4 linked regions of the Mytilus edulis genome follow. The main gene of each other region encodes a partner of the protein of the gene in region 2 in a complex. Links are inferred from orthologs where the notes say so. Each region holds a gene or a part of one and is shown on either strand. Other genes may lie near its edges.

Region 1 (6,911 bases), on a different chromosome or scaffold from region 2:
TGAAAAAACGTTACCTGATGATTTCATATCTTTGTTTACATTGAGTATGAGGTCAAATAATGTTACAACTAAAATCCAAATCAACAGAACAAAAATCAGAAAAGTCAAGGTATTTCCGTTTCTTTTTTTTAAACAGATTTTAAAGTTAAACATGTTAAAATTATGTTTGAATTGAAAAAAAATCATAGACTTCATCCCCTTTCACAGGTAATGCCTGCCTCAAATTAGTTAAAGTTGTGACTGAGTTCGGAAATACGAAGAAAGATTTACCATGTTTCTGGGACTATCATACTAACAGGACTGGAAACCATTACACCAATCAGAATATCTAAATCACAGTCGTTAGAACGAGACTTTACCTGCGCTATTTATGGATACGCCATATTGATTTGATAGTGAAAGCGTGCCTTGATCTTATAATTTCTGAAATTATTTTTTTTATTTTATAGTTATTAGAAATGATAATCCTTAATATAATAAAATTGAGAATGGAAATGGGGAATGTGCCAAAGAGACAACAACCCGACCATAGAAAAAAACAACAGCTGAAGGTCACCAACAGGTCTTCAATGTAGCGAGAAATTCCCGCACCTGGAGGCGTCCTTCAACTGGCCCCTAAACAAATATATACTAGTTCAGTGATAATGAATGCCATACTAATTTCCAACTTGTACACAAGAAACTAAAATTAAAATAATACAAGACTAACAAAGGACAGAGGCTCCTGACTTGGGACAGGCGCAAAAATGCGGCAGGGTTAAACATGTTTGTGAGATCTCAACCCTCCCTCTATACCTCTAGCCAATGTAGAAAAGTAAACGCATAACAATACGCACATTAAAATTCAGTTCAAGAGAAGTCCGAGTCTGATGTCAGAAGATGTAACCAAAGAAAATAAACAAAATGACAATAATACATAAATAACAACAGACTACTAGCAGTTAACTGACATGCCAGCTCCAGACTTCAATTAAACTGACTGAAAGATTATGATTTCATCATATGAACATCAGGCACAATCCTTCCCGTTAGGGGTTTAGTATCATACGATCATAACATATATGAGAAGAACATAACCCGTGTCATGCCAACAACTTGATTACTATAATGATAAAAGTTACCTCGATCTTTAACAGTTGTTATTAATCACTAAATCCGCCTTAAGTGTAAGAAATAACAAAAAGATTGAAATTTTCAGGATGAAAATGACGTGGGAACGATGTGGAAAAAAGGAGATGATTAATTAAATTTCTTATAACTTTTGATTGAAAAGAGATACCCAAGTTGGGTTTGTTGTGAAATCATATTCATAGGTTATAGTTTGGATTTGCCTATTTTTATTGTCGTTTTAAAGTGACAAGTGGAAAAATATCTCTTTCTCATTACAACCGGAACCCACATGCACGGCTTAAATAAATTTTACTGTTCCTACAAAATTGCCTACTCCTTTTTAAGTGTGCAATATTTTATTATAATCAGGGTTAATTTTGCTTAGTAATGGTCTTCAGGTGGCATTAAGCATATGACTTCGTGAAAATAGACTAGGTTCCACAATTACAACTACAAAAGTAGGCCCGATGATGCACAGCCATATTGAAATTTTGGTGTAAACACGAAGTTCACAAAAGTTTAAAACAATGTGGCTATATTTTCATGAGACCAGGGTAACTTTTGTTATATGAATTAATTAGGAATTGAAATTGTCAACATTGTTTTTATTGCACACATATTGTTTTCATCAGGATTATTTATGATCTGACAACCTTTGACACGTTGTTATCTTAGCGGTCAAGTAAAGTGCTGCATTTCGACTATATCTGGTTTATCATGTTTATTTTCAACATTACTATATTGACTACTTCTTAATATTTTTTCGTAAACAATATCTGGTTTTTGCATTAAACTAATTAGCTTATTACAGGGTATGAAATTAGCAGAGGCCCACAGGCCAATGGCCCCTCTAATTTAGTGTGGGCTGCTTAAATTTCTGCTTTTCTTGTAAATTAGACTATATTTGGGCTACAAACTTTAAGCTGTGGGCTACAATTGCCAAAGTCTTAAGTTCTATCCCTGTTTAATAATTATTCTTTATTTCAAGTCCACCAATTTTAACTGTTTTTCTATATATATGCTGACTTGTTTGCCGAAATCTATTGTTTACATGTACCGAATGCTAATTTACTACATGACACAATACGCTGTCAACCAAAACAAAAATCAATAATCCGCTATTGGGGCAATGAAATCTCAACAGATTGTTCAGTTTGCAGACCCTTAAGTACGGTATAATAAATTTATAATACACCTTATCGCTATTTGTCCGCCATTACTGCATATCACACAGGTTCATGTAAAATTTTGACGTCATAAAACAATATATCTGACGCAACAATGGAAAAGTGATTGATGTATGCTCAAAAGTTCAAGCGGCCGGGTCAGCTGGGATTAGCAATAAGATGTATAGTCCCAGCCATGTTTACATTCGTAATTTGGACTCTGTAAATTCTTTCCCATTTTTACAGTCTCAATTTTTAAGGTAAAAACAAGTTGTAACTGTAGAAAATTTCATTGCAAAAAATAAAAGTGGTCCACAGAAAATTTTCAAAAAAAGGGGGGAGGTATTCAAACCACTTCGAGTTCTTACCAGCTTGCAACTAACTGCAGTTCTGAGTTGAGATGTTCTCTCACTCCTTGTAAAATACTGTTGAAAAACTTCGGGGGTAAAACAATATGTCGCTTAGATGAAACTGCTTCAAGATGGGAAAAAGAACACTTTGAAATTAGTGATTTTGCCTCGGAAAATGTCAATCGTGTATGTTCCATGGAAGCTGCCATTTTTTTTTCTAGAGTTCGCGAAAGTGTGTGACAAAATTTGGCTTTGTGAAAAATTGGTCAATGTTGAATATTTTTTTTGAGTTAAAAAAAACCCTAAGAATATTGATGTATAAATACTATTCTGAACTAATTAAAGTAAAATTATAAGTTAATCCAAGTTTATAGATGGCGCCACGAAACTTCCGGTTGACCGAAATATTTACCATTCAAATCCAGCGCTCATATGAGATAACTAAATATTTATATTGCATATATGTAAGTATGCTTTTGATTTGATCCCTACCAAATCACCACTTGAAACTGTTAGGATAAATTGCTTTGATATCCCCTTTTGTTTTTGCAGGTCCCCTTTTTTCTTACTTGTAAAGTTGCCAACTGTCATAATCTGATGTCAGTGATTCATAATATATGTTTACTGTCAGATCATGAAATGAAATAAACTCACAACATTTGCAAATAGCAATATATGTTGTATTTTCTCCTGGAGAGGTGTTGACCTGATTTGTTATCCGCCTTATCATACAGTCTATAGCCTATAGTCTATACACCTTATTGCTATACACCTTATCGCTATTTGTCCGCCATTGCTGGAAATCACACAGGTTCCCGTAAAATTTTGACGTCATAAAACAAAATGTCTGACGCCACAATGGAAAAGTGATTGTTGTTGACGTCAAAAGTTCAAGCGGACGGGTCAGCCGGGAATAGCGATAAGGTGTATTTGTCCACCATTACTGGACATCACAAAAGTTCTTGTAAATTTTTTACGTTATAATAGAAAATATCTGATGCCACAATGGAAATAGTTTGAGAGAGACAGATTCTCTGTTCAGTCGAGAATAGCAATAAGGTCTATTCCCAGCTGAACCGAAAATTTGTATTGCTTGAACAATTGACGTCATACAACAATTACTTTTCCATTGTGGCGTCAGATATTTTTATTATGATATAAAAAATTTACAGGAACCTGTGTGATGTCCAGTAATGGCTGACAAATAATTATGACATCTTGAAAGGCTATTATACTTTTTCGCTTTCACGCCTTGCACGTTGTGCATTCTCATTGCTTTGCTGGGTTAGACATGGGGGATTCAAATGAATCTGAAGGAGAGAAGTTTTTTTTAGTTTTAACATTTTGAGCCTTAGGCGCTGTTCCCTTGTTTCGCCTCAAGCTAAGCAATTAAAATTCCTGAGGTTTAAATGATAGAGATAAAAGCAATTATAGTTAACTTATAACCCTACAGTCTACAGTAATGAAAAAAAAAAAAACTCATACTTTATATTCATGAAAGGCCTAGACATAACGATACATAGAGAATAATACATGGCAAAATCTGTATCATATGTCGTATCATCCCGAGACATCAATATCAGCCCAAGGGCCTTTAGGCCCGAGGGATGATATTGGTCGAGGGTGATACGGCATGTGATACGGATTTTGCCATGTATTATACGCTTTATCATATGTTTCAACAGAATAGTATTATATTATATGAACTGTTTTCTGATCCATAGCACTGGGTTACCTTCAGTTCTACTTTTGTCTTGTTTCAAAGGCTTTCAAAAGTACTGCTCAATTACTTATCCGAAGCACCTGGGCTACCTTACAATTTGCGTGCTGTTGTTTAAAAAAAAAATGTTTATTATTGTATTTATTTGTGTGTTTTGTATTTTTTATAGTTGCAATTAGTGTGCCAAAAAATATGAAAACTTGACGTTCGTGACGTCAAATACAATATGAAAACTTGACGTTCTTGACGTCAAATACAATATGAAAACTTGACGTTCGTGACGTCACATACCAAACAATGACGTCATTCAAAAAATTGACCTATTTTGAGGAAAATTTTTCTTAAGCAAAAAAAAACAAACAAAACTGACTTTACATGCTTCATATAAAAAAAAAAAAAAAAAAAAAAAGTAGGGGTGTGATAAAGGGTAGAGGTGTGATAAAGGGTATGCGATAAAGGGTATGCGATAAAGGGTGCGCATCAGAGTTGCGCGATATGGATTAAACAGCAGGCTATTTATCAAATATGCAAAACTACTGTATTTACTACTTAACATATGATAAAAACAATAAAACTTTAAATTATAATAATATTAATGTGTACATGGTATACTGTACAATTTATGAAAAACAAATAATTTGAAATATGAACCAACAACAACCACTGAATTTAGGACTCAAACCTTGAGACAGTATAAACATAAATAATGTGGTGAGGTTAAACATGTTTGTGAGCACACAACCCTGCCCATGCCTGGTGTTGCATCACAACATCAGAACAAACTGTAAAAAATATTTTACTTAATAAATCAATATGAAGCACAAATAAACTGTAAAAGCACCTAGCATTGAAATACATGTACCCTCCCTGATTTCATGTTCTGGAATATGTCAGTCTTATTGACATATTGATTATTAATCACAGAGTTGTGTCATTGAAATCTTAATATTTACAAATTACGATAGAATCATATTAATTACATGTAAATATCAGTATATTCCTTCAAAGCAATATTTTTTTTCTAACATGTGTAAACATTCATGACATTGTATTTTCCAGGAGTATTATTAATCCATAATGGGAGATGACAGTGAATGGCTGAAACTTCCTGCTGAAGAAAAGTGCCAGCATAAGGTAAAATTAAACTTTACAAAGATATAGGTCATGTAGGTTATGCATGTTATATATACATATAAAATTTATGTTATCCCAAACTAAAACAAAAATTAGTGCACATTCAACAGAGTTAGAGTAACAACATCAAAAGCAATCTTAGAAAAGCATAACTTGGTCATGTTAGCAGGTTAGTGCAATGCCAGTCTGCACCAAATTCTTTTCCAACTACAAGTCAGATGACCAATATTCAGACAACTTTCTTATGTTTATAAACAAATATTTACAAATACTTACTATTAAAAATGATATTCAATTAGTCTTGGGACATCCATCTAGTGGTTAACACTAAATGGTGTAGACTGCAATGCCAAAACTATTAGTATCATTTTACCTTATGAAGGATTCAAACTGGCTTGGACCTGAGTTACCTACCAATTGGGATTGAAAGGGAAGTGTAAATGGAAGCTTTAGTGTTACAGGAGGAAATTAACTTATTTGTTTTTGTATTATAGACATGGAAAGCACGTCTAGCAGGATATGAAGAAGTTACAAAGATATTTAGCCAACAGACTGATCCCAAGTCTCCTGAATTCCAGCGCTATGCTGGCCTTATGAAGAAGTTTGTCACTGATACCAATGCTGTGGCTCAAGAAAAAGCATTGGATGCTGTTCTAGCATTTGTAGAGAATGCTGCTGTAGCATCCAGGTTTGATCATTTTTGTATAACTACAAGATAATATTTAGTTTTATATCACCATTCTATGGTATCATGACATCTATGGATTTATTGTGATGTTTGATAGCTGTCTTGTTGACAAAGGCCCTAAATCTGAAATATCATAAATACTAGATTTCAGTTCAGAAATTATTTTGTTTCATCATATGATTGGTAAAATTAGTATCTTACAAAATTTCTTTGCAAACATATTAGCATGATTTCAGGACTTAGACTTTTACTTCGAGCATTTTAATCTATAGATATAAGAATTTGTCGTATGAGTGCCAGTGAGACAACTCTTAATATCCAATTCACAATTTGTAAAAGTAAACCATTATAGGTCAAGATACAGTCTTCGACAAGGAGCCTTGGCTCACACCTAAAGTAATGGTCTTATCTATTTAAAAAACTAGAAACAATTATGAATCACTTCAACAAACAACAACCACTGAACATCCGGTTCCTAGCACTCAATAGGATCCATATTCTTATTCTAATACATCTACACTGTTATTGACACAAAAATCTTTGCTTAAATTAACTGGATAATATTTTGTCTACTGTATTTAACATGATATAAAAAAAATTGCAATGATTGTTGAAGGCGTCAAGGAAATTAGTTGGTTATAGGGATTTTGGTCCCTACCTGGGAGTGTTTATGTTTTAATGATATTTTTATTTACAATTGGATGCATTTTTCTTTTGGAGACTATAGCATAACTATGAATGTG
Region 2 (7,025 bases):
GTAACCATTGTAACCAGATTCCCCATGCTTGTAACCATTGTAACCTGATTCCCCATGTATGTAACCATTGTAACCTGATTCCCCCATGCATGTAACCATTGTAACCTAATTCTCCATGCGTGTAACCATTGTAACCTAATTCTCCATGCGTGTAACCATTGTAACCAGATTCCCCATGCATGTAACCATTGTAACCTGATTCCCCATGTATGTAATCATTGAAACCTGATTTTCCCATGCATGTAACCATTGTAACCTGATTCCCCATGTATGTAACCATTGTAACCTGATTCCCCATGTATGTAACCATTGTAACCTGATTCTCCATGTATGTAACCATTGTAACCTGATTCTCCATGCGTGTAACCATTGTAACCAGATTCCCCATGCATGTAACCATTGTAACCTGATTCCCCATGTATGTAACCATTGTAACCTGATTCCCCATGTATGTAACCATTGTAACCCAATTCTCCATGCGTGTAACCATTGTAACCAGATTCCCCATGCGTGTAACCATTGTAACCTGATTCCCCATGCATGTAACCATTGTAACCAGATTCCCCATGTGTGTAACCATTGTAACCTAATTCTCCATGCGTGTAACCATTGTAACCTAATTCTCCATGCGTGTAACCATTGTAACCTAATTCTCCATGCGTGTAACCATTGTAACCAGATTCCCCATGCGTGTAACCATTGTAACCTGATTCCCCATGTATGTAACCATTGTAACCTGATTCTCCATGTATGTAACCATTGTAACCTGATTCTCCATGCGTGTAACCATTGTAACCAGATTCCCCATGCATGTAACCATTGTAACCTGATTCCCCATGTATGTAACCATTGTAACCTGATTCCCCATGTATGTAACCATTGTAACCTGATTCTCCATGTATGTAACCATTGTAACCTGATTCTCCATGCGTGTAACCATTGTAACCAGATTCCCCATGCATGTAACCATTGTAACCAGATTCCCCATGTATGTAACCATTGTAACCTGATTCCCCATGTATGTAACCATTGTAACCCAATTCTCCATGCGTGTAACCAGTGTAACCTGATTCCCCCATGTATGTAACCATTGTAACCTGAATCCCCATGTATGTAACCATTGTAACCAGATTCCCCATGCATGTAACCATTGTAACCTGATTCCCCATGTATGTAACCATTGTAACCTGATTCCCCATGTATGTAACCATTGTAACCCAATTCTCCATGCGTGTAACCAGTGTAACCTGATTCCCCCATGCATGTAACCATTGTAACCTATTTCTCCATGCGTGTAACCATTGTAACCTAATTCTCCATGCGTGTAACCATTGTAACCAGATTCCCCATGCGTGTAACCATTGTAACCTGATTCCCCATGCATGTAACCATTGTAACCAGATTCCCCATGTATGTAACCATTGTAACCTAATTCTCCATGCGTGTAACCATTGTAACCTAATTCTCCATGCGTGTAACCATTGTAACCTAATTCTCCATGCGTGTAACCATTGTAACCAGATTCCCCATGCGTGTAACCATTGTAACCTGATTCCCCATGCATGTAACCATTGTAAACAGATTCCCCATGTGTGTAACCATTGTAACCTAATTCTCCATGCGTGTAACCATTGTAACCTAATTCTCCATGCATGTAACCATTGTAACCTAATTCTCCATGCGTGTAACCATTGTAACCAGATTCCCCATGCGTGTAACCATTGTAACCTGATTCCTCATGCATGTAACCATTGTAACCAGATTCCGCATGTATGTAACCATTGTAACCTAATTCTCCATGCATGTAACCATTGTAACCTGATTTTCCCATGTATGTAACTATTGTAACCTGATTCCCCATGCATGTAACCATTGTAACCTGATTCCCCCATGTATGTAACCATTGTAACCTGATTTTCCCATGTATGTAACCATTGTAACCCTACTTTCCCATGTGTGTAACCATTGTAACCAGATTCTCCATGCATGTAACCATTGTAACCCGACTTTCCCATGTATGTTACCATTGTAACCCGTCTTTCCCATGCATGTAACCATTGTAACCTGATTCTCCATGCATGTAACCATTGTAACCTGATTCTCCATGCATGTAACCATTGTAACCCAACTTTCCCATGTGTGTAACCATTGTAACTGATTTCTCTATGCATGTTTCACTGTAACCAAATTCTGCATGTATGTAACCAGTGTAACCTGATTTCCCATGCATGTAACCATTGTAACCAGACTTTCACAGGCTGGTTACAAATTTTTACTGGATTCCCCAGGGACAGCCATTAATGTACAGTTTGCAACAGATTAAGCCACCATTGCATATCATTTACTAAAGGTCCATGTGTGTAACCAATGTAACCAATGTAACCATTGCTTCAATGGGGGTAACAAAACAAGATACCTATATTCAGGTGCACATTTTGTGCCATATCTATGGTACCCAGACCGAAGTTTAAACTAGAATGAGTACTTTGGGGGCCTCCGTTTGTCAAAGTTGCCCCTACTTTGACCTGGAGATCAATCTTCTGATACTTCGAGTTCTCGGCTTCCTCAACCATAATAACAGAATTCCCGATGTCCTAGCACTCCCTTTGTGTTGGGTGGGGATTAATTGTCCTTGTAAAAATAATTGTCGTATAAACATACGTTAGTGACACATCTCCATTCGAGTAGGGAGTGTACATGGATGCCACTGTACGCTCGCAGCTTTCGAGGGGTTCTTCGGATATCGGAGGCATTTACCAGTACATACATACATACATACATGTATATACAGTATTCAAAAAATAAAGTTCATGCATATTTTGTACGCTAATGCCAATAATGTGCATGTATCAATTGAGCAACAATATGAAAATTCTAACATAAATTGAACACTTCTACCTACAATTTCAAATGTGTTTAATGTCGTGCAGTTTAATTTAGATTTGAAAATTTAGAAAAATAAACTCACATGTTTCATGGGCGCAGACATCTTGGTTAATAAAAAAAAAGATTATTTAATTATCTACTAGATAAAACGAAGTGAAAAAAGAAACAAAATTGATGTGAATAAAAATAATTTTGGATCTGAAAAATAGAAATATAATTTCAATGCATTGTAATTAGCACTGAAAAAAATAAATGAAATTAAAAACAGATTTAATGAAACAAATTTTATTTTCGTTTTGTACGAAATTTTGCATTGTTTAGTAATCGACGTAAATAAAGCGAAAGAGAAAGATGAAGCTCCTTACTCACAACATGCTTACTTCTAGTATAATAAAAGGTGTAAAGAAGGGATACCCACTAACAATTCAGGTGAAACTTAATGTTGTTGCATAGCTGTATTTTACAATGTAGAAATTGACAAACGAGCCTTCTAAACCTCCCCGTTTATAACTTGCTAACCCCTTTTATCCTGTTGTCCTAAATTGTATAATGACTATAATTAGGCAGCTATACAGGGGGTACTTTCATCATGAATAAAAATAAAATTATTACCAAACGATGTAAAGGAGGGTTGTATTAAATGGGGGTACCTTTATGATGAATAACAGTAAAAATCGTTGCCTAATGATGTTAACGGTAATTTTTGTTGTATGACGATAAAATGTACTCTGACAATAAAACATCAACTGATTTTGACGAATCACGTTAATTTTTTTCTAAAAATGACGGTAATGATAATTTTTTGAGACCTCTGACATGTCTGACAAATCTCGGCAAGGATATTTTGAGGAATCACGGTAAAATTTTAACCAATTTGACGTTAATGGTAGCCAAAAACGGCTCTTAAAGGCCATAGTAATTTTTGGTGCATGACAATAAAATGTGTATTTTCTTTATGATGATATAATAATCGACCGATTTTGACGAATCCTGATTTTTTTTCTCTCCAAAAAGTAAAGGTTATGGATAATTATTTGAAACCTCTGAAAAATAGGACATATACATGTAACTATACTATATACAAAATGTATATGTCCTTGATCTCATTAACATTTTAACCAATTTGATTCTTATGAAAGCCATAAATTTGACTCCGATGGTAAAGAGTACCGGTATTCCTCCTCTCATACATAGTGTGTAAATGTGTGAAACCTTTTTTTATTACTTACCAGATTGGCAAGCAGCTCTTCATTTCAACTTTGTTTCATTTTGAGAGTCATCCTCCTGCCAAGGCAAAAGAAAAGTAAAGCATATATTTTTCTATTCACACAGTGTTTTATTTACCATTGATTTACTCAGCACACACCACAGCTATATATAAGTTTAGACACCTTGAATATACTTGTACAAATACAACTTAATTGAAATAAGGGTAACACATATTTTTGTTGATTATTTTTTTATAGGCAACTAAAGTGGAGGTGAAAGAGGTTGACTTTAATCCAGAGTTCACAGCCAGAATGATCCCTAAAGTGGATTGGCCAGCTTTGTGTCAGGCAGCTCAGTCAGTAAGGATATACGCAATATAGTTAGAAAATACAAAGGGACACAACTCATAATTCTAAGAATATCTGAAAGAAATCTTTTTTAATTTTAAGATTTTTTACTCTCTGAATAATCAATTAATAACTTGTTCATGCATAGTTTAACTAGATAATTAAACTCCAGCATTTTAATTTTGAGAATAAATGCTAAAAATAAATATACATTGTACAATAGGTAGTTTATAAAAAAGAAGATGTGGTATGATTGCCAACGAGACAACTATCCACAAAGACCAAAATGACACAGACATTAACAACTATACTAGGTCACCGTACGGCCTTCACCAATGAGCAAAGCCCATACCACATAGTCAGCTATAAAAGGCCCCGATAAGACAATGTAAAACAATTCAAACGAGAAAACTAACGGCCTTATTTATGTAAAAAAATGAGGTTCTTTATCATGTTTATAAATAAAAATTGAAAGAAAATCAACCCCTCAGTGCTTAGATTTCCTGTATTGAGTTTTTAAATAGGCTTCTTGCAATAAAGTTGATCAATGTCTGCAGGGATTTTATCCACAATAATCAAAATATAATACAAGGATAAGCTAGCATTAGCTAGGTACACTAAGGTTGGCTAGGTACATTAAGGTTTATGTTTTGTTTATTTTTACATTTAAGGTTGGTCATAATGAAGGTTTACCAACAGAAGTTGCTGAAAGTTATGAATCTGATGAAGATTTTTTAAAAAAGGCACACAGAATTCTTATGGAGGTATATATGATAACAAGAAGATAAATTTACAAACTAGTTAAGATGTATAATCATAGTTAGCAACCATTTAAAAGTAAAGCCAATTTCTGGAATAATGAATTTTACTCCAGAATTATAATTTTAAGTTGTTATCTCCCTTTTCGGAAAGTAGAACTGATAATCTGTTTATACTCCTTGTTGATTTAAGATAATATTTTGTTTATATTGATATTACAACTTTTATCCTATTGTGGCTTCCAACATTCTCATTATCAAGCTGGCAATGTCTGTAATCTAAAGGAGCACGGGACATCACCATGACAATATACTTAAAAAAGACTTGATGAAGCAGGTAATATGATGGCATAATTAGTTATGGTTCTACTGAAAATTTCCCAAATGTACAAGAATAAGAAAATTTAAAGATTTTTTAGAGGACATTAAGATCAAGTGAACAAAACCATTAGGAATACAGTTTCAGCCATGAACACATATAGTTTTATGGAGATAATACCAAATCTTATATTTTAAATAATTACATCCACATTTTTGTTGGCAGGTAGAAATTGTAGAAGGTGATCTGATTTGTCCTGAGACAGGAAGGAAATTCCCTGTTAATAGAGGAATACCCAACATGTTGCTGAATGAAGACGAGGTGTGACAGAAGCCATTTTGAACAATCTTGTGATAATAACTTTGTGTCATACATTTTCTATGACTTGATAATTGAATATAAAGCAACAAAATTATTTTGACAATTCATCATGTGAAATGTAAAGTTTCATCAGAAATAATTGGGAAAATTATGAACACAATCTTCATATGTACTTTGTTACAGAATTTGGTAAAGAACATTTCCTTTGTTGTAGAATGCTTGTTTTAAGCATGTGACTGTTAATAAAGGTATAAGCCAAGTATGTATTTAATTTTGTACCTCTTAAAACAAAGTTACTGTGGATAAATTTGTACTCACGAAATCCATGGCAATTGGTTTTCAATGAAGAAAAATGAATCGGTTTGAACCCACCCCCACTGAAAAATTGTCATTTCCCGTCTATTTTCCGATTTTAAAACGACCTTGAGAGGTGAACATTGACCAGACTGTGTTTCTTTGTCATTCAAATCTTACCCCATAGATACAGAAGTCAAATCATGCTAACTGGGAGTTTATGGGACTTAAGTGTCTTGCTGGCGAATTATTATTCTTAAGTCAGGTCTGCCTAAATGTCTGTTTTTACGGATTTTTGACAAAACGGTGACCTAGATTTTACAGACTAGTTTCCTATTGGCCATATGATACCTCTTTGTGTTCCTATACCACCTATGCATGAATTTACGATAATAGTTTATACCTACAATGACTACCAGTTACGTAGTGGCCATCAAAAGATGCCCACCCCCACCTGATTTTGGCTACTTTTCACGTTTTTCCGATTTTGAACTCTTAAAGGGCTTTCAAAGTGCCATATTTTCACAATCAGACGTCCGAGAAGAGTTTATGGACCATGAACTGCTTGGTTGAAGTCCCTGCTCTAATGACAGTTCAGGTTGGGCAGTTTAAAAAAGGTATGGAGGGTCATACGGGCCATCAAAGAATGGTTGTCGCCATCACGCCTACAGGCGGGATTGGGGGTTAAAGAGTTAAATCTTATTCTAAATATTGAGGGGAGATAATCAAACCAACTTACTGTAATATTGCAAAATATGGCAATGTTCTCTCGTCAACACAATTCCTCTTAAACCGCAGAATAGATTTTGATAAAATATTGCATTGATGTAGAATGCCACCTGAAAACTTGTAGGAAGGAATATCATCCTTGTCATATGGCATGTACATTTT
Region 3 (7,932 bases), about 94 Mb from region 2:
GAAGAGGCTGAAAAACAACAATAATCACTATTTAAGCATACATTTGTACAGGCAGTGGTATTTAGGGCAAGTTCTGTCTAACAGCTTGTGATAATATAACTGTGTTAACAATTTATAATGATAAGGCCATTGCACATAAACTATGGGTATACAAACTGGAATGGTATTAGGATATCAAAGTATGATCATGTTGGATGGATTATCAAGCATGTCAATTGCAAAATTGTTCTTATTCTTGAAGAAGAAGACTTCTTCCAGAAGAATTGGTGTGTTGCTTCATAAAGAAATGAAAAGGTTTAAGGCCTGGCATTCACTAAATATATAACGTACATGTAATATGCCTTTTGTGTTTCAGAAAGATAAAAAAAAATTTTTTAATTAGATGGGCATTTTTGTTCTGTTTTTAACATTTTTAAAGATTTTATCTTTCTGAAACACAAAATGCATTTAACTTTTATAGTATATTTACAATGTTAGTCCAAATATATCTGATGTCTTGCAAGGCTATTATAATTTTCCTACTTAGGAAGGCGTCCCAGAAAAAAAATTAAATAACCTTGCAAGAGGTCATAATTATTTGAACTAGTACAATGTACAAATGTATCTGGTGGATATTGGATAAGGCCTTCAAACTTTTTCAACTACACAGGTTAGTTTTTGAGGTATAATTACAACCATCTTTTTCCATTTGTAATGACGAACCTGTATATAAACTTTTATATGGGGAAGAAGTCCCCTATTAAAGTAGAAAAATCAATAATTTATTATTTTTTTTTTTTAATTTTGGGAAAATTCGTTCAAATATTTTTGTCGCTTTCTTTAATTCCCGCATTTGCGCAGAACGCAGAAATCTACTTCCTTCTTCCGGTCTTGTTGTCGTGAGACTTTGAGTAGTCTAGTAAAATATAGGAACTCAAGGAACACAATGCCAATATTTCATTTTTAATAATTCTTTGTCTTTGATATGAATTAACGTTACCTGATGCATTGTGTTTCTTTGTTTACATTGAACATTTATAGTAGAACTAATTGCCGTATTTGAATATCAAAAATAAGACAACGCGTGACCGAACGACGCATGGATTAAACGAGTGATTACGGCAAATACGGCGATTAGTTATTCTTTTTATTACATTGGCAAATGTTTTTTTTTTATGAAATTAATGTGGAAAATGTAAGGAACAAGGGTCCGGAAACGGTCATATTTGCCAGTCATGTCCTAAACTGAAACTATAATGTCCTAAACTTTTAATTGGGATTTAGGTCAAATTTTATTTTTCAACCGTAATAATTTCGGTCATTTCGTTGAGATCAGCTTTCAAAATCGCCATTTTGAACATATTTTTGTTTTGTTATCGACTTCCTGTAATTAAACTGCCACTTCATTAAAGTGTTATAATCCTGAGGGCCCTCCTAATAACTATATTAATGCCTCGGGGAGCTATTGGCTAATGATTGCTAATCTCTTTACCTGTGTTTTTAATTCACACCTGGCAATTAATCACAAGCTCCAAACTATTATTATAAAGAAATAAAAATTCCATACCAACTGGCTTCATTATTTAATTACTCAACAGGTCAGACAATTGTCAATTATGATTTAAAATTAAATTAAAACTTGGTTTAATTTCATAGAAAAAAATATTTTTTTTACTTCTAACACACGTGCTTTGTTTACTATGTAATACGCATGTTTGAAATTCTCTTCCACAGATTTAGACAATTAATTGTAAATATAAAATAATTTCATCCTAAATAAAGCTAGTGCAACTATTTTAATTAATATTCTTACACTATTAAAGGTAAAATATTAAAAAGCCGATGATTTCCTGTGATTTGGATAAACAAAACTAATCCCGGAAATGAGTCCGGAATTGTTCGTTTTAGTATTGTCGCAGTACATCCGGTTTGAATTTTGACTTCAGAATCAAAGGAAACGTAAGCAATAACTGAGAATATTATCGTTTTGAGTCATTAAAATCATTTTATTTATAAACTGTTGCCTTCCCTTAATTGCTCTTAAACGATTTTTGGAAAATGGTAGGACAAATCATGAAGTAAATGCGATGCAACAGTGAAACAAGTTTGTTGATGCTACGAACATGACGATCGAGTATGAGCATACTCATAATGAGTCTCATGCAGTAATGTGATTTTGACAATCATTTTTTGAAAAGGGGCATCAACTTTTAAGTTGTATGAAAATGACCGAAATTAGGTGAAAAAATTTCCGGATCCTTGGTAAGGAACTATATCTTTTTCCTACGCATTGACAATTTGTTTTGATCCGACGTTATCGACGTCTTGACAACGCCTATTGTTGTATGACATCAGAGAGTGAAATAACCCCGTTTATTTCACATGTGAAATTATCGGTTTTTATCTAACTGGGGAATCAATGTAATTCATTACAACCAATGTAATAAGACGTCATAACTTAAATAACGTCACAAGTAAAATACCTAACAACAGAACCAAAATCGGAAACGTTACAGTATTTCCGTTTCTTTTTTTTTAACAACTTCGTCCCCATTCACAGGTAATGCCTGCCTCATATTATAGACAATAGACAATATTATAAAAAAAAATTATGTACTGCCACTGGTGGAAACTAGCTATAAATTTGTCTTATGCTTAAAAAATTGCACAGGTTTATCAGATTCTAGTGAAAATATGTAGGTGTTAACTCAACATTTGTTATCCATTTGTTATTTTGAAACATCAATTGACATAATTGACGTATGAAACGGTTGTTTCTGTGACTAGTGTCAGAACGACAGTAGGGGAAAAAAGGGGGGTCTACAGATCGGATATAAACAAATATATAACTTATAAGGTTTACCATATGTTGCTTATCATTAGGTCTGCCATAATCTTTATGTGTTAAATTTTTGAAACTTGGTTGTATTCGATCCCCAGTCTCTGTCATTTTGAACAAAAGTTCTTTGATTTTCTTCCCACGTGCATTTGTTGTTGTTGTCTACGTAAATATAAGGTTTGAATGTATAGAACATATTTCTGTCTTATTAAACGTTTTGATGACTAAATTAAAAAAATAATAATAGTATTACAGGGTAGGACGTAGTTTGGAATTCCGTATTTTAAAAATATTCGTCAGTTCGTCAGTTACCAAGGAGAATATCATGAACACGCATTATTGATTAATTTATTGTCTTTTACGCCACTCTCGGCACTATTGTTTTTTTTTGTGGTGGCCCGAAGAGAATCATAGATACTTGGGCACAGGACATTTTTATTGGCCCTCCCCCTTTTCCTCACAATCCGTCACTTTTTTCAGGAACATATATATATTAACTTAGTTACCCAGCTTGTTTTGTTTTTATATCACACGTGTATATGGTAAGCGGAAGAAGGGATCCCGTAGACCGCCCTACGTCACGAATCATGAATTATGCATATTCTATTTATAGGCTATTTATAAACGATTCTGAAAATACTTATTCTAAAAATAGAATATTCTCAACATGTACAGCTATTAAAAAAAACCGATTCAAAATCATTAACTTTCATGTAACACGGTGAATTTGCTTTATTTATTATTTTATCACATGAAAAAAAGAAAAATGTACCGCATTACAGTAGCATATATCATAGTACAAATATATACAGATTCCTTTTTAAGATACACATGAAACATTTCATATAGATATGATAAACAGTAGGACTTAGTGCCTTAATTATGTTGTAAAGACCTGCAAATGTCACATGCACGTGGTCCCACGGCTTTGGATATACTATGGAGTTAATAATATTTTTATTATCCGTCTAAAAGAGTATTTTTATGTAGGCAAATTGAAAAAAAGATGTAGCTTACACATGTTAAACATATATTGTTACACGTACTAAGGCTTTACAGGAGTGTGAGAGGGTGTTTAAACTGGTCTGCGTTTAAAGAAACGAATCTGTAATGTGACCCCCTGTTGTCTGACCATTCTACTATAGCTGGACGTTCTATAGGAACCATTGTTACTTGTTTACAATAAAGCTACTGTTAGGGCGTTCTACAGGATCCCCTGGTCGTTCTACATGATCCCCTGTTGTCTGAACCTTATATATCTACTACAAAACGTTCTATAGGATCCCTTATATTGTTTGTTTATCATGTATACACTAAATGACGTTCTACAGGACCCCCTGGGCAGTCTACAGCTGGGGGGGGGGGGGGGGTCTACAGGATCCCTTGTTGTCTGAATATTATATATATATATCTACTATATATAGTATAGAACGTTCTATAGGAACAAGTTTTTGGTCAGGATTCTTCCGAAAAAGCTCATACCAAATTTATGAAATATATTCCTGGTGTAAATAGAAAGTCAAGTAATATAGCTGTAATGTCAGAGATTGGTAGATTTCCTATGTATTTTACTATAATTTTATCAATGTTAAAATATTGTCATAGACTGGAACGTTTGAAAGAAGGATGATTATTTGATGCATTTATATGTTGTAAACATACAGTTACAAAGTTCTAATGTAAATACATGGTATTGTAGTATAGATTATATTCAAAGAGATTGAAATACCAAATTTTGACCAATCAATTGGTTCTTTATGTCAGTATCTTAAAAATCAACTATGTAAAAGTAATTTCACATTTTGGAATAAACTGAAGCATCAAACAATTAACTCCGAAAAATGGAAAAAAAAAATGATTTAAAAAGAAAAGTATTTAGAATTACAGGACTTAAAAAAAAGACAGTCAATTTGTAAATTAAGAATAAGCGCTCACTCTTTAAAAATTGAGACAAACAGAAATTCAAAAAAACATGTAGAAAGATCTGAGCGTCTTTGTTCTAATTGCTCACTCGGTAAAGTTGAAGATGAGCTTCATTTTTTATTAGAATGCCCTCTTTATGATATTCAAAGGGACGATTTTTTCCAAGACATTTCTAACAATTGTTATAATTTTATAAATTTAAATAAATCTTCTAAATTTTATGGCTCTTGACCCAAGAAAATGTCACTCTTATGGAAAAACTGGGCTGTTATATTGGTGACTTTTTTTAATTAAGGAGATTAGATATGAACACTGACACTAAGTCAAGTAAACAATTTGAGAATAAATACATATATATAATGTAATTTTATTATTCTTTTATTCACAATATATATGTGGTTTTTGGCTTGATTCTGACCATTGCTTATATTCCAAATATATATGTATATGCCTCTATTATTGTTGTTGTTACCAATTATGTAAATCAATTGTATCTGATTCTATGCCCTTTATGGGCCCTGTAATTTTTGAAAAAAAATATATATAGGATCCCATATTGTTTGTTTGTCATGAATATACTAAAGGGCGTGTTCTCCATATCCCCTGTTGTCTGAACATAATATATTAACTATAGAACGTTCTTTAGGATACCCTATTGTTTGTTTCTGATGTATCTACTAGGCTAAGAGAACGTTCTATATAATCCCCTGTTGTTTGTTTATCATGTTTATACTAGATGACTCTCTACTGGATCCCTTGGTTGGTCTGTGGGATCCCCTGTTTTCTCAAAATTATATATAAACTATAGAACGTTCTATAGCATACCCTATTGTTTGTTTTTGATGTATCTACTAGGCTAAGAGAACTTTCTACAGTATCCCCTGTTGTTTGTTTTTCAAGTGTATACTATAGGGCGTTCTACAGGATCCCATAGGCGGTTTACAGGATCCCCTGTTTTCTCAACATTATATATCTACTATAAGACGTTCTACAGGATCCCCTGTTGTTTGTTTTTCAAGTGTATACTATAGGGCGTTCTACAGGATCCCCTAGGCGGTCTACAGGATCCCCTGTTTTCTCAACATTATATATATACTATAAGACGTTTTATAGGTTCCCCTTTTGTTTTCTCAAAATTATATATAAACTATAGAACGTTCTATAGCATACCCTATTGTTTGTTTTTGATGTATCTACTAGGCTAAGAGAACGTTCTACAGTATCCCCTGTTGTTTGTTTTTCAAGTGTATACTATAGGGCGTTCTACAGAATATCTGAGCGATCTACAGGATACCCTGTTTATAAAAATTATGCATTTAAGATAATACTTTCAATAGGTTCCCCTGTTGTTTGTTTATCATGTATATACTATAAGGCTTTCTATAGGATCCCTTGGTTGGTCTACAGGGTCTTCTCTTTTCTCAAAATTATTTATCTACTATAAGACGTTCTATAGGGTCCCCTGTTGTTTGTTGTTCATGTTTATACTATAGGGCGTTCTACAGTATCCCCTGGGCGGTCAGCAGGATCCCCTGTTTTTTCAACATTATATATCTACTATAGGACGTTCTATAGGATCCCCTGTTGTTTGTTTTTCAAGTGTATACTATAGGGCGTTCTACAGGATCCCCTAGGCGGTCTACAGGATCCCTTGTTTTCTCAACTTTATATATCTACTATAGGACGTTCTATAGGGCCCCATGTTGTTTGTTGTTCATGTTTATACTATAGGGCGTTCTACAGTATCCCCTGGGCGGTCAGCAGGATCCCCTGTTTTCTCAACATTATATATCTACTATAGGACGTTCTATAGGATCCCCTGTTGTTTGTTTTTCAAGTGTATACTATAGGGCGTTCTACAGGATCCCCTAGGCTGTCTACAGGATCCCCTGTTTTCACAACATTATATATCTACTATAGGACGTTCTATAGGGCCCCATGTTGTTTGTTGTTCATATTTATACTATAGGGCGTTCTCCAGAATACCTGAGCGATCTACAGGATACCCTGTTTATAAAAATTATGCATTTAAGATAATACTTTCAATAGGTTCCCCTGTTGTTTGTTTATCATGTATATACTATAAGGCTTTCTATAGGATCCCTTGGTTGGTCTACAGGGTCTTCTCTTTTCTCAACATTATTTATCTACTATAAGACGTTCTATAGGGTCCCCTGTTGTTTGTTGTTCATGTTTATACTATAGGGCGTTCTACAGTATCCCCTGGGCGGTCTGCAGGATCCCCTGTTTTCTCAACATTATATATCTACTATAGGACGTTCTATAGGATCCCCTGTTGTTTGTTTTTCAAGTGTATACTATAGGGCGTTCTACAGGATCCCCTAGGCGGTCTACAGGATCCCTTGTTTTCTCAACTTTATATATCTACTATAGGACGTTCTATAGGGCCCCATGTTGTTTGTTGTTCATGTTTATACTATAGGGCGTTCTACAGTATCCCCTGGGCGGTCAGCAGGATCCCCTGTTTTCTCAACATTATATATCTACTATAGGACGTTCTATAGGATCCCCTGTTGTTTGTTTTTCAAGTGTATACTATAGGGCGTTCTACAGGATCCCCTAGGCTGTCTACAGGATCCCCTGTTTTCACAACATTATATATCTACTATAGGACGTTCTATAGGGCCCCATGTTGTTTGTTGTTCATATTTATACTATAGGGCGTTCTCCAGAATACCTGAGCGATCTACAGGATACCCTGTTTATAAAAATTATGCATTTAAGATAATACTTTCAATAGGTTCCCCTGTTGTTTGTTTATCATGTATATACTATAAGGCTTTCTATAGGATCCCTTGGTTGGTCTACAGGGTCTTCTCTTTTCTCAACATTATTTATCTACTATAAGACGTTCTATAGGGTCCCCTGTTGTTTGTTGTTCATGTTTATACTATAGGGCGTTCTACAGTATCCCCTGGGCGGTCTGCAGGATCCCCTGTTTTCTCAACATTATATATCTACTATAGGACGTTCTATAGGATCCCCTGTTGTTTGTTTTTCAAGTGTATACTATAGGGCGTTATACAGGATCCCATAGGCGGTCTACAGGATCCCCTGTTTTCTCAACATTATATATCTACTATAAGACGTTCTACAGGATCCCATGTTGTTTATTTTTCAAGTATATACTATAGGGCGTTCTACAGAATACCTGAGCGATCTACAGGATA
Region 4 (7,587 bases), on a different chromosome or scaffold from region 2:
TGTGTTAATACCTATGTGTTTCACGATTCTTTCGCTTTGGAAATCATTTACAGCCCAAATTTGCTGACACAAGTCAATGAATTATAAAAAAAAAAACACAGTTTTCTAATGACAGAAATTTCCTATTTGTACCATACCTCGATTTGCGTTCTTCGACACAGCATATAACTCGCAACCTGAATATTTCATGCCCTTCTTGTAAATTATCTCTATTCTCGGTATATGATATAATTTGTAGGGATGGCAACGAGTACTCGAGTACTCGCTCGGAAGGCTGAGTACTCGTGTACTGTTTTAGTACTCGGATACTCGTTTGCTGTTATACATCTTGAGATATTTCTCTTCACATTTCCACTCACTTTAGTTCCGTTGAAGTATCCCCTTCGAAATACTAAATAAAATCAATTAACAACATAAATATGTTTATCCTTAGGTTACTATTTGTTATAGTAGTACCAGCAACATCCTTTCCTTCCGGGGGAATGTTTTCATGTGCACTACTTGAAACAAAAAATAGAAAGTCAAACAGTCTTTCGTCTGAAACTGTTGACCAGATCATATTTCTTAACAAGAACAAAGTGACCTGCGGTGAACCCTACGCAACTGAATAGAGACATTTTTAACGGTGTTTATACATGATTAAAAACAAAAAAAATGAAAATAAGACCAACGATCTAGAGCAAAAAAAAAAAACACAGAAAAAGTAAGACTGAGCGACACGAAAAAGCAAAAGTAATTTAAAGTCCAATATTGTTGTTGAAAAATTAATGGACATATCGTATTAAAAAAAAACTCCGCAGGAACAGATGATACAAATGTAGTCTTCTTTGTAGGACTTTATATGTAAATATTTTTTATTTTATTGGAATTTGGTTCATCAGAGACATGTCTCTGGATTCATAAACACTTACACAAACAACAATTATGATAGGTTATTTGTAGAAACGGCGGTCGGTAATTCATTGTTTAATAAACACAAAAAAAAGGAGAAGCAAGCTATGTTTGTAGTACATTTGTCTTATGTTTATAAAAGGTAATAACAAAATACTGCATTCCACCTCAAATCTAAACTTTTCAATAGGCGTTTAAGATTCATCCGAGTAATTGCGAGTACTCAAGTATCATGACCGAGTATCCGAGTATTAAATTTCAAATCTTTTGACATCCCTAATAATTTGTCATTATTGAGCAGTTGTTGAGCAGCAGAATATGTACATGTCAACTTAATCGTTTTAAAGTACTCGAAACAAGAAATATGAAAACGGATATTTGAAACAGGAAGTTTTGAATGAAACGAAGTTATTGACAGTTACCGGTAACGGAAATGAAAAAAAAACGGAAATCGTAAATTTTTCAAAATAAAAAATTGGGGAAGGACGATTTCAGAGGGGCAAGCGGGGATTAAAATCGATCAATTAATTTTAATCAGCCTAACTGGATACCATAAGAAGAAGAGATAATGTCTGACGCGTTACAAAGGAAAAGTGATTGCTTGTTTGACCATGTGTTGACTTGACTGCGAAAGTGTCATAATTTCTTATTTCAATAGGCTATTTGCCAATTTCCGTAATTGACCCTGTAATTAGAGATCCCTAATGAGGGACATTAATTTTTATTTACAATGGAGAGCTAGCAGAAAGAGCAAATCTATCTGTGCGTAATGTGAGTAATTTATAAGGTTTTTAAATCTTTTAATAACATTAATTTGTTGTTTAACTAAATACCATTGACTTCAGAAATTATTTTTCGTGAAAAATTAGTTAAACCGCCGATACATCACTTTCAATTTATCATGCTTTGCATTGGTTAAAGTCAATTTTGTCTGGTATCGAATAAGTCAATTTATTAACAATCAATTTGCCAAATACACAAAGTATTAATCAACTATTAGCGGCGTATATAAAGGAAACAAACCGTTTTAGTGGATAATTTAATACAAATTTCTTTTAATTTTTAATATTTTTTAATTTTTCATGCCATTTTGATAATCTAATTAACCATTTTTTTTCAATAACAGTAGAAAATTCAATAAAAAAAAAAATTCGGGAAAATTTCCCGAATTTTTCATTGTATACTAATGAACTCAAAATCGTTCAATTTTTTTTTTGTCGTGTTTTGAAATCCCGGACCTGCGCAGAAATGTACAATGTACTTCCTTTTTCCGGTCTCGTTTGTATGAAACTTTGAGTAAAATATATATTTATCAGTCTAGTATAAAATAGGAAGGAACGCGCAATACCAATTTCATTTTTAATAATTCCTTGATATGAAAAAACGTTACCTGATGATAGCGTTTCTTTGTTTACATTGCATATGACGTCATAATTTAAATAACGTCACAACTAAAATCCCTAACAACAGAACCAAAATCGGAAACGTTCCGGTATTTCCGTTTCTTTTTTTTAACAAATATTTAAGTTACAAAAAAATAATTCATACAGACTTCGTCCCCATTTACAGGTAATGCCTGCCTCATATTATTTTTAAAGCGCCACCTACAATATCTAAGTACAAAGGAGAAACTACATTAGTGATAATTATTTTACAAGAGAGGATAATTCACAAGAGAGATTACTCTGTGATCACGACAAAGATTGAAGATTGAAGAATAAGTCTACGATTCTTTCTTTTTCGTCTTTCCTTGTACATTATCTTGGTAGAATATGTTGTCTATAATCCTAAAAGGGATTTAGCAAGTCCATCATTACTGACAATAATTTAAATAATCAGTACGTATGTATGTCAACAAATTTAAATTATGCCAAATTATGTTTTTTTTCTGTTATAATAATTCATAATTTTTGTGATTTAGAATGTATTTCGTTAAGAAAGCATAACACTATATCTTCTGAAACGACGAGTGTTTGAATTTACGTGACTTATTTGAAATTACCTGTCACACTTTTTAAAATCGTGCTGTTGATGTAATGATCTTCTGCATTGGAGGCGAGTTATACCCTAGAAATCAAGATGGCTGCGCCCATGGCCACACACGTTCGAATTAAAGTGTATTTTGAAAACAACGAGTTTGATGCTTCATGGTTATTAATCGATACAGGTGATCTCCGGACAATGAAAGATGTACAGCGACATATATCCTTGAAATTTCTTGGAAAAGCTGTCCCTCTGTATTTATCTTTACAAGGATGTTTACTTCCAGATTGGGAGAAGTCAGTTATTTTAAGAGACAATGATTGTGTTAATGCAAAGTGTATCCATCAAGATAGGTAAATTTTAGGTAGAAAAGGAAGTGACTATTATTTTAATTGATAGCAGGCAATTCTGAGAGAAGATTGCAATCATTAATTTATAATACTTTGTCATGAAATATTTGCCACTGGACGTTAAGCAAGCAACAATTAATCTAATGTATCCGGAGATCCTGATTCTACATACAAAATCATCTATTCTCCACCGGGACTCAAACACGAGACCTCCTTCTTCCCAGGCAGCATGTTATGGTTCATGTGGACCATGTGGACCCTGTGGCTAAAATGGCTGCATTTTCACCTCAAAATTTACTCTGAGTACAGACAAACCTGTGCATCTGGAAACGTTTTAAGGCAAAGCATGCCCTAGATGAATAGACTTCAAATGCATTGTATGATTTAGAAAATTCATAACTTAACTGGATTTTGCAGTGCAGTACTGAGATAAATTAATTGGTACTTCCTTAGCTCAACCGCTTACGGCTAACTAAGTATCTACCACATAATCCTGAAACACTTCCCCCACCTCAAGAGTCATCATACCATAATGACTCTCACACAAAATAAATGTACCCAAGCTAGAATTCCCCTCTTACCACCATGTTTTTTTCTAGTTTGGCGCCAATTAGAGCATGATTCTACATACAAACATGTACTAAAAAATCTTGTCTCTACCAGGACTAGAAACCCAAGACCTCTGTGTTACCAGGCAGCGTGTTAACTGACTGGGCTAAAAAAGTACTTCCTTATCTCAATCGCTTACAGCTTACTAAGTATCTAGCACACCTTCTAAGGGAAGAATTCATATGAGGCAGGAAGACTTGTTGGAGTGTTGCTGCACACAACAGTAGCTTTTATGACACTGCTTTCATGTAAATTCGGGCCAAGTAGATTCATCCAAAGTTGTTCCAGTTCAAGTTCATTCTGCCCTCATATAGGACAGCTAGTAGAAATGCCCTGTACTATGTGTACCGTCGGACATCAAATAGTAATTTTCGGCTACCTTAAGTGTCGAAATTGGTTAACATTTAATCATGATCCAGTTTGTTTAAATATTGCTATTGTTTATATTCATCAGAGGTCTCAAAGGTTTGTTATCAATCTTTTTGTTTAACAGGTGTAAAGATTGTTCTCAATCTTTCATACAATTAGTCTATAGTCTCTGGACATTTATTCTATGCAATAGTTAAATTACCTTTGCCAGATATTCAAACAAAATTACAACTAAACCATTGTAAAGGCATGTGATTACATTGTTTAAATGTATTACTATACATGGATCTCCATGGCCTGTTTAACGATGGCGCCCCGCCATCGTTCAAATGTCTTGCGCCATCGTCAAATGACTCGCGCCATCGTTCAATTGTCTTCCGCCATCGTTCAAAACTGTGATCGTTTTTATAGCCTGACGCCATTTTTTTAGCAATTATAATCAAATGCATGAAATTGCATAACCCTCAGGCTTTTTTTTATAGTATAATCCAATACAGTTCTAACGCCTGAGGGATATCCGGATTAAGATCGCTAATCAGTTGTACCTGAGCTTGTACAGGTAGATCAACAAACCAGACAGGAGAATATTATCTGAAGATAGACCATTCATCTGTCGAATAATTTAACTAAGTTTCTGCAAATGCTTATGATAATTCAGATTAAATAAATAAATTAATAATCCAGTTACAAAGTTTAATAAGTAGAACACATGCTTTTATTTTGACCTACGCAATCTGCATCCCCCTTTTTAAGAAGTACAAAATAAGACGTAAAGCAGTAATTATTATTTCATCGCAAATAACTCGAGTACTGCTGTATTGTAACAATAATATAGAATTACTTTAAAAGTTAAAAAGTTAAAAATTTAAATATTTCCTGTAAAGAAATATCGTATCGTAATTCCGAATTCATTTGGTAGTTTAAATACACCTTTCCACTATCTACTGATAAGCCCGCCTCCCTTAGCAACACATGGCAACCCAGCATCTTGGGTCAAGCTTATCAACAAAATGGCGGTTATTATGAACATTGGATAATAACAAAGTAAAGAAAATGTTATAAAAAATATAAAGAAGAGCAATATATTTATGCTTTTGTGTTAAAATATGATAAAATAGTTACTCCTCAAGAGTTGGGAGATAGATTTATGAAATTCTGACCATTTCAACTAAATTAAAAGAAACAAATACAATATTGAAATTTGAAGCTTATATACTAGATTACTTTCATTCACAAAAATGTAACAACAAGATAAAAATATGATATGATTGATTAGATAAATTATTATGATAAATTCCAGGTTTAATTAAGCATGGCTAATGAATGTTGATAAGTTTGTTTACTATGTAGACAAACACAGCATTGGGTCAACTTGTAAAACAAGCATCATTGATCCAGTACCTAATAATTGTTTATTGAATAATATTTAACCATTTTTTTTTTATGTCCATAGATAACTTATACTGATAATTAAAATTCCTATCACTAAGTAAAAAATAAAGAACAAAAGAAAATTTATTTATTTTTTGCTAGATAGATAGTTACTTGCATTGCTTACATGTATGGTTGGTCATTGAAGTTCGTCTTGGCTTCAAATTCATATAGACTAGTACTCTTATCCTTTTAAGATTGAAATATTTGCACATTGTACCTTTTTGATTGCAAATTAATAAAATAAAATATATCGAAAACTTCTCACTTCTTTTTTTTTTCTTTTGATAAAATATATGATAATAATCCTGTTAAATCAGTAAATATTCCCACAGAAGACCAAGTCGTATCAAAACTACACTTTATTTTACTTATGATAAGCATCTATTGAAATATATATTTTTATTCTTATTATTCAAGTTTCCCCTACCTCTTAACAAAATTCTAAGAATGACAGTACAAACATAAATATGATATTTGTAATGTAATTTCAAGAAATAGCACATTCTAACTTGGATGTTTTATAGTATAATTAATTATTAAATGAATGAAAAAAATCTCAAAATTGAATTCTAATTCAATTTGTAAACCAATTGAAATCTTGTGTTTCAAAATATATATTTTTCATCATTTAAAAAAAAATACTATTAGCATGTAAACAATATTTTAAAATCAGTAAGCACTGCCATCCTATTCCTTTTTTATTGATTTATTAATCAGTTTCATTCATTAAAATAAACTTTTATTTTGTTGGAAATTGACAACTTGACCTTCCTCTACCCTCCTACTTTGATTCCTTTCCCTAAAACAATATTATTAATGATTTAATTGCGAAAATTTCAAAAAAATTCTATCAAATTAACTGTTCAGATAAGAAAGCTTGACCGAGGTTATGTCCGACAACACGTGCTGCTATCAAATGTTTACACATGTGGTAAATTGACCACATGTGATTGGTCAATTAACTGATGATTGGCAGGAGAATGGATAGGTGTATTACAATCAAATTGATACATCCGCTTTTCCGGTTTCTATTTAGACTTGAAAGATGCATGTTGCATAGCATCGATTAAATCATTTGCTAGATAAAGTCATTAAAAACCTTTTCATTTGACAACGTTTGCTTAACAAATCTTTTTAATTTTTTAAATAACCCGTACGACTTGTTTTGTCGTTGCTGCAAACCAGCCATACCGGTAATTGGTTCATGACTTCTGAATTTGACAGTGTCCGTGAAAAATAAGCTCCACATGATTTTTAACCCCCATAACAATTACCAAAAATAGCAAGGAAACTACATGGGGACCTTTGTGATAGCTATTGGTCATTCTCGACTAAGGGAAAGGGAGGGGCACGAGGGCTTGGCCTTTGAAGGGTTACAAACGGCAATTATTGAAAATATATATTCTTCTATATAGTATTTATAATGAAAATTCAAATAAACATAATTTAAATAAGTAATGAATTAGCATGTTCACCTATCCTTATGTGGAGGGATGAAATACTTTCGATCGCGCTACACTGTACGGCTTAGATACGGTTTATGATGGTGAAAGTTCCTCCATCGTTCAATTTTCATCCATGGAGATCCCTGCTATAAATGGATACAATGTACAATATACATAACCTATTAAGTTTCTGTAAAGATGAGTTCAAATTTGTTTTGCCAGTCCAAAATCCCCTTTTTATAGTTCTTAGCATGCCTTATCCTTGCGTGTAAGAAAATTGGTTGCTATTGGTCTAGGTTAATCATATAAATCACTGTCAATATATATACGTTATTATTGAATTATAAAGAAAGCAAGCACAATTTCATATGTTTCGACACAGTTTTATCAATATAAAACATTAAAATAGCAGTCACTAAACAACTGTAGGATTAATAGCAAGCTAGAAAAAAAGATGTTATTCAAATGCCACATGTTGGCCGAAATTTCGTAATGCGAAATCGAAA

Evidence for each region.
Region 1: DNA-directed RNA polymerase I subunit RPA12-like (region 2) and DNA-directed RNA polymerase I subunit RPA43-like share a complex: the UniProt entries of both Homo sapiens proteins name them as parts of the RNA polymerase I (Pol I) complex. The link is inferred for Mytilus edulis from reciprocal best matches to the Homo sapiens genes POLR1H and POLR1F.
Region 3: DNA-directed RNA polymerase I subunit RPA12-like (region 2) and DNA-directed RNA polymerase I subunit RPA2-like share a complex: the UniProt entries of both Homo sapiens proteins name them as parts of the pol I pre-initiation complex. The link is inferred for Mytilus edulis from reciprocal best matches to the Homo sapiens genes POLR1H and POLR1B.
Region 4: DNA-directed RNA polymerase I subunit RPA12-like (region 2) and RNA polymerase I-specific transcription initiation factor RRN3-like share a complex: the UniProt entries of both Homo sapiens proteins name them as parts of the pol I pre-initiation complex. The link is inferred for Mytilus edulis from reciprocal best matches to the Homo sapiens genes POLR1H and RRN3.

What each region holds. Positions count from the first base shown.
Region 1 is NC_092350.1:28,387,212-28,394,122, reverse strand, and holds the start of DNA-directed RNA polymerase I subunit RPA43-like, read right to left. Parts: upstream 3,003-6,911; 5' UTR 2,836-3,002; coding exon 2,645-2,835; intron 1-2,644. Other genes in the region: cytoskeleton-associated protein 5-A-like, read left to right, coding at 5,424-5,480, 5,975-6,168. UniProt on the Homo sapiens protein: Component of RNA polymerase I (Pol I), a DNA-dependent RNA polymerase which synthesizes ribosomal RNA precursors using the four ribonucleoside triphosphates as substrates.
Region 2 is NC_092345.1:1,181,630-1,188,654, reverse strand, and holds the start of DNA-directed RNA polymerase I subunit RPA12-like, read right to left. Parts: upstream 3,013-7,025; 5' UTR 2,969-3,012; intron 1-2,968. Other genes in the region: multifunctional methyltransferase subunit TRM112-like protein, read left to right, coding at 3,238-3,315, 4,353-4,454, 5,114-5,206, 5,745-5,846. UniProt on the Homo sapiens protein: Core component of RNA polymerase I (Pol I), a DNA-dependent RNA polymerase which synthesizes ribosomal RNA precursors using the four ribonucleoside triphosphates as substrates. Can mediate Pol I proofreading of the nascent RNA transcript.
Region 3 is NC_092345.1:94,834,098-94,842,029, forward strand, and holds the start of DNA-directed RNA polymerase I subunit RPA2-like, read right to left. Parts: upstream 3,003-7,932; 5' UTR 2,930-3,002; coding exon 2,843-2,929; exon of another isoform or gene 2,416-2,842; intron 958-2,415; exon of another isoform or gene 8-957; coding exon 1-7. UniProt on the Homo sapiens protein: Catalytic core component of RNA polymerase I (Pol I), a DNA-dependent RNA polymerase which synthesizes ribosomal RNA precursors using the four ribonucleoside triphosphates as substrates.
Region 4 is NC_092352.1:27,401,466-27,409,052, reverse strand, and holds the start of RNA polymerase I-specific transcription initiation factor RRN3-like, read right to left. Parts: upstream 2,971-7,587; 5' UTR 2,894-2,970; intron 392-2,893; exon of another isoform or gene 138-391; intron 1-137. Other genes in the region: coilin-like, read left to right, coding at 2,971-3,227. UniProt on the Homo sapiens protein: Required for efficient transcription initiation by RNA polymerase I (Pol I). Required for the formation of the competent pre-initiation complex (PIC).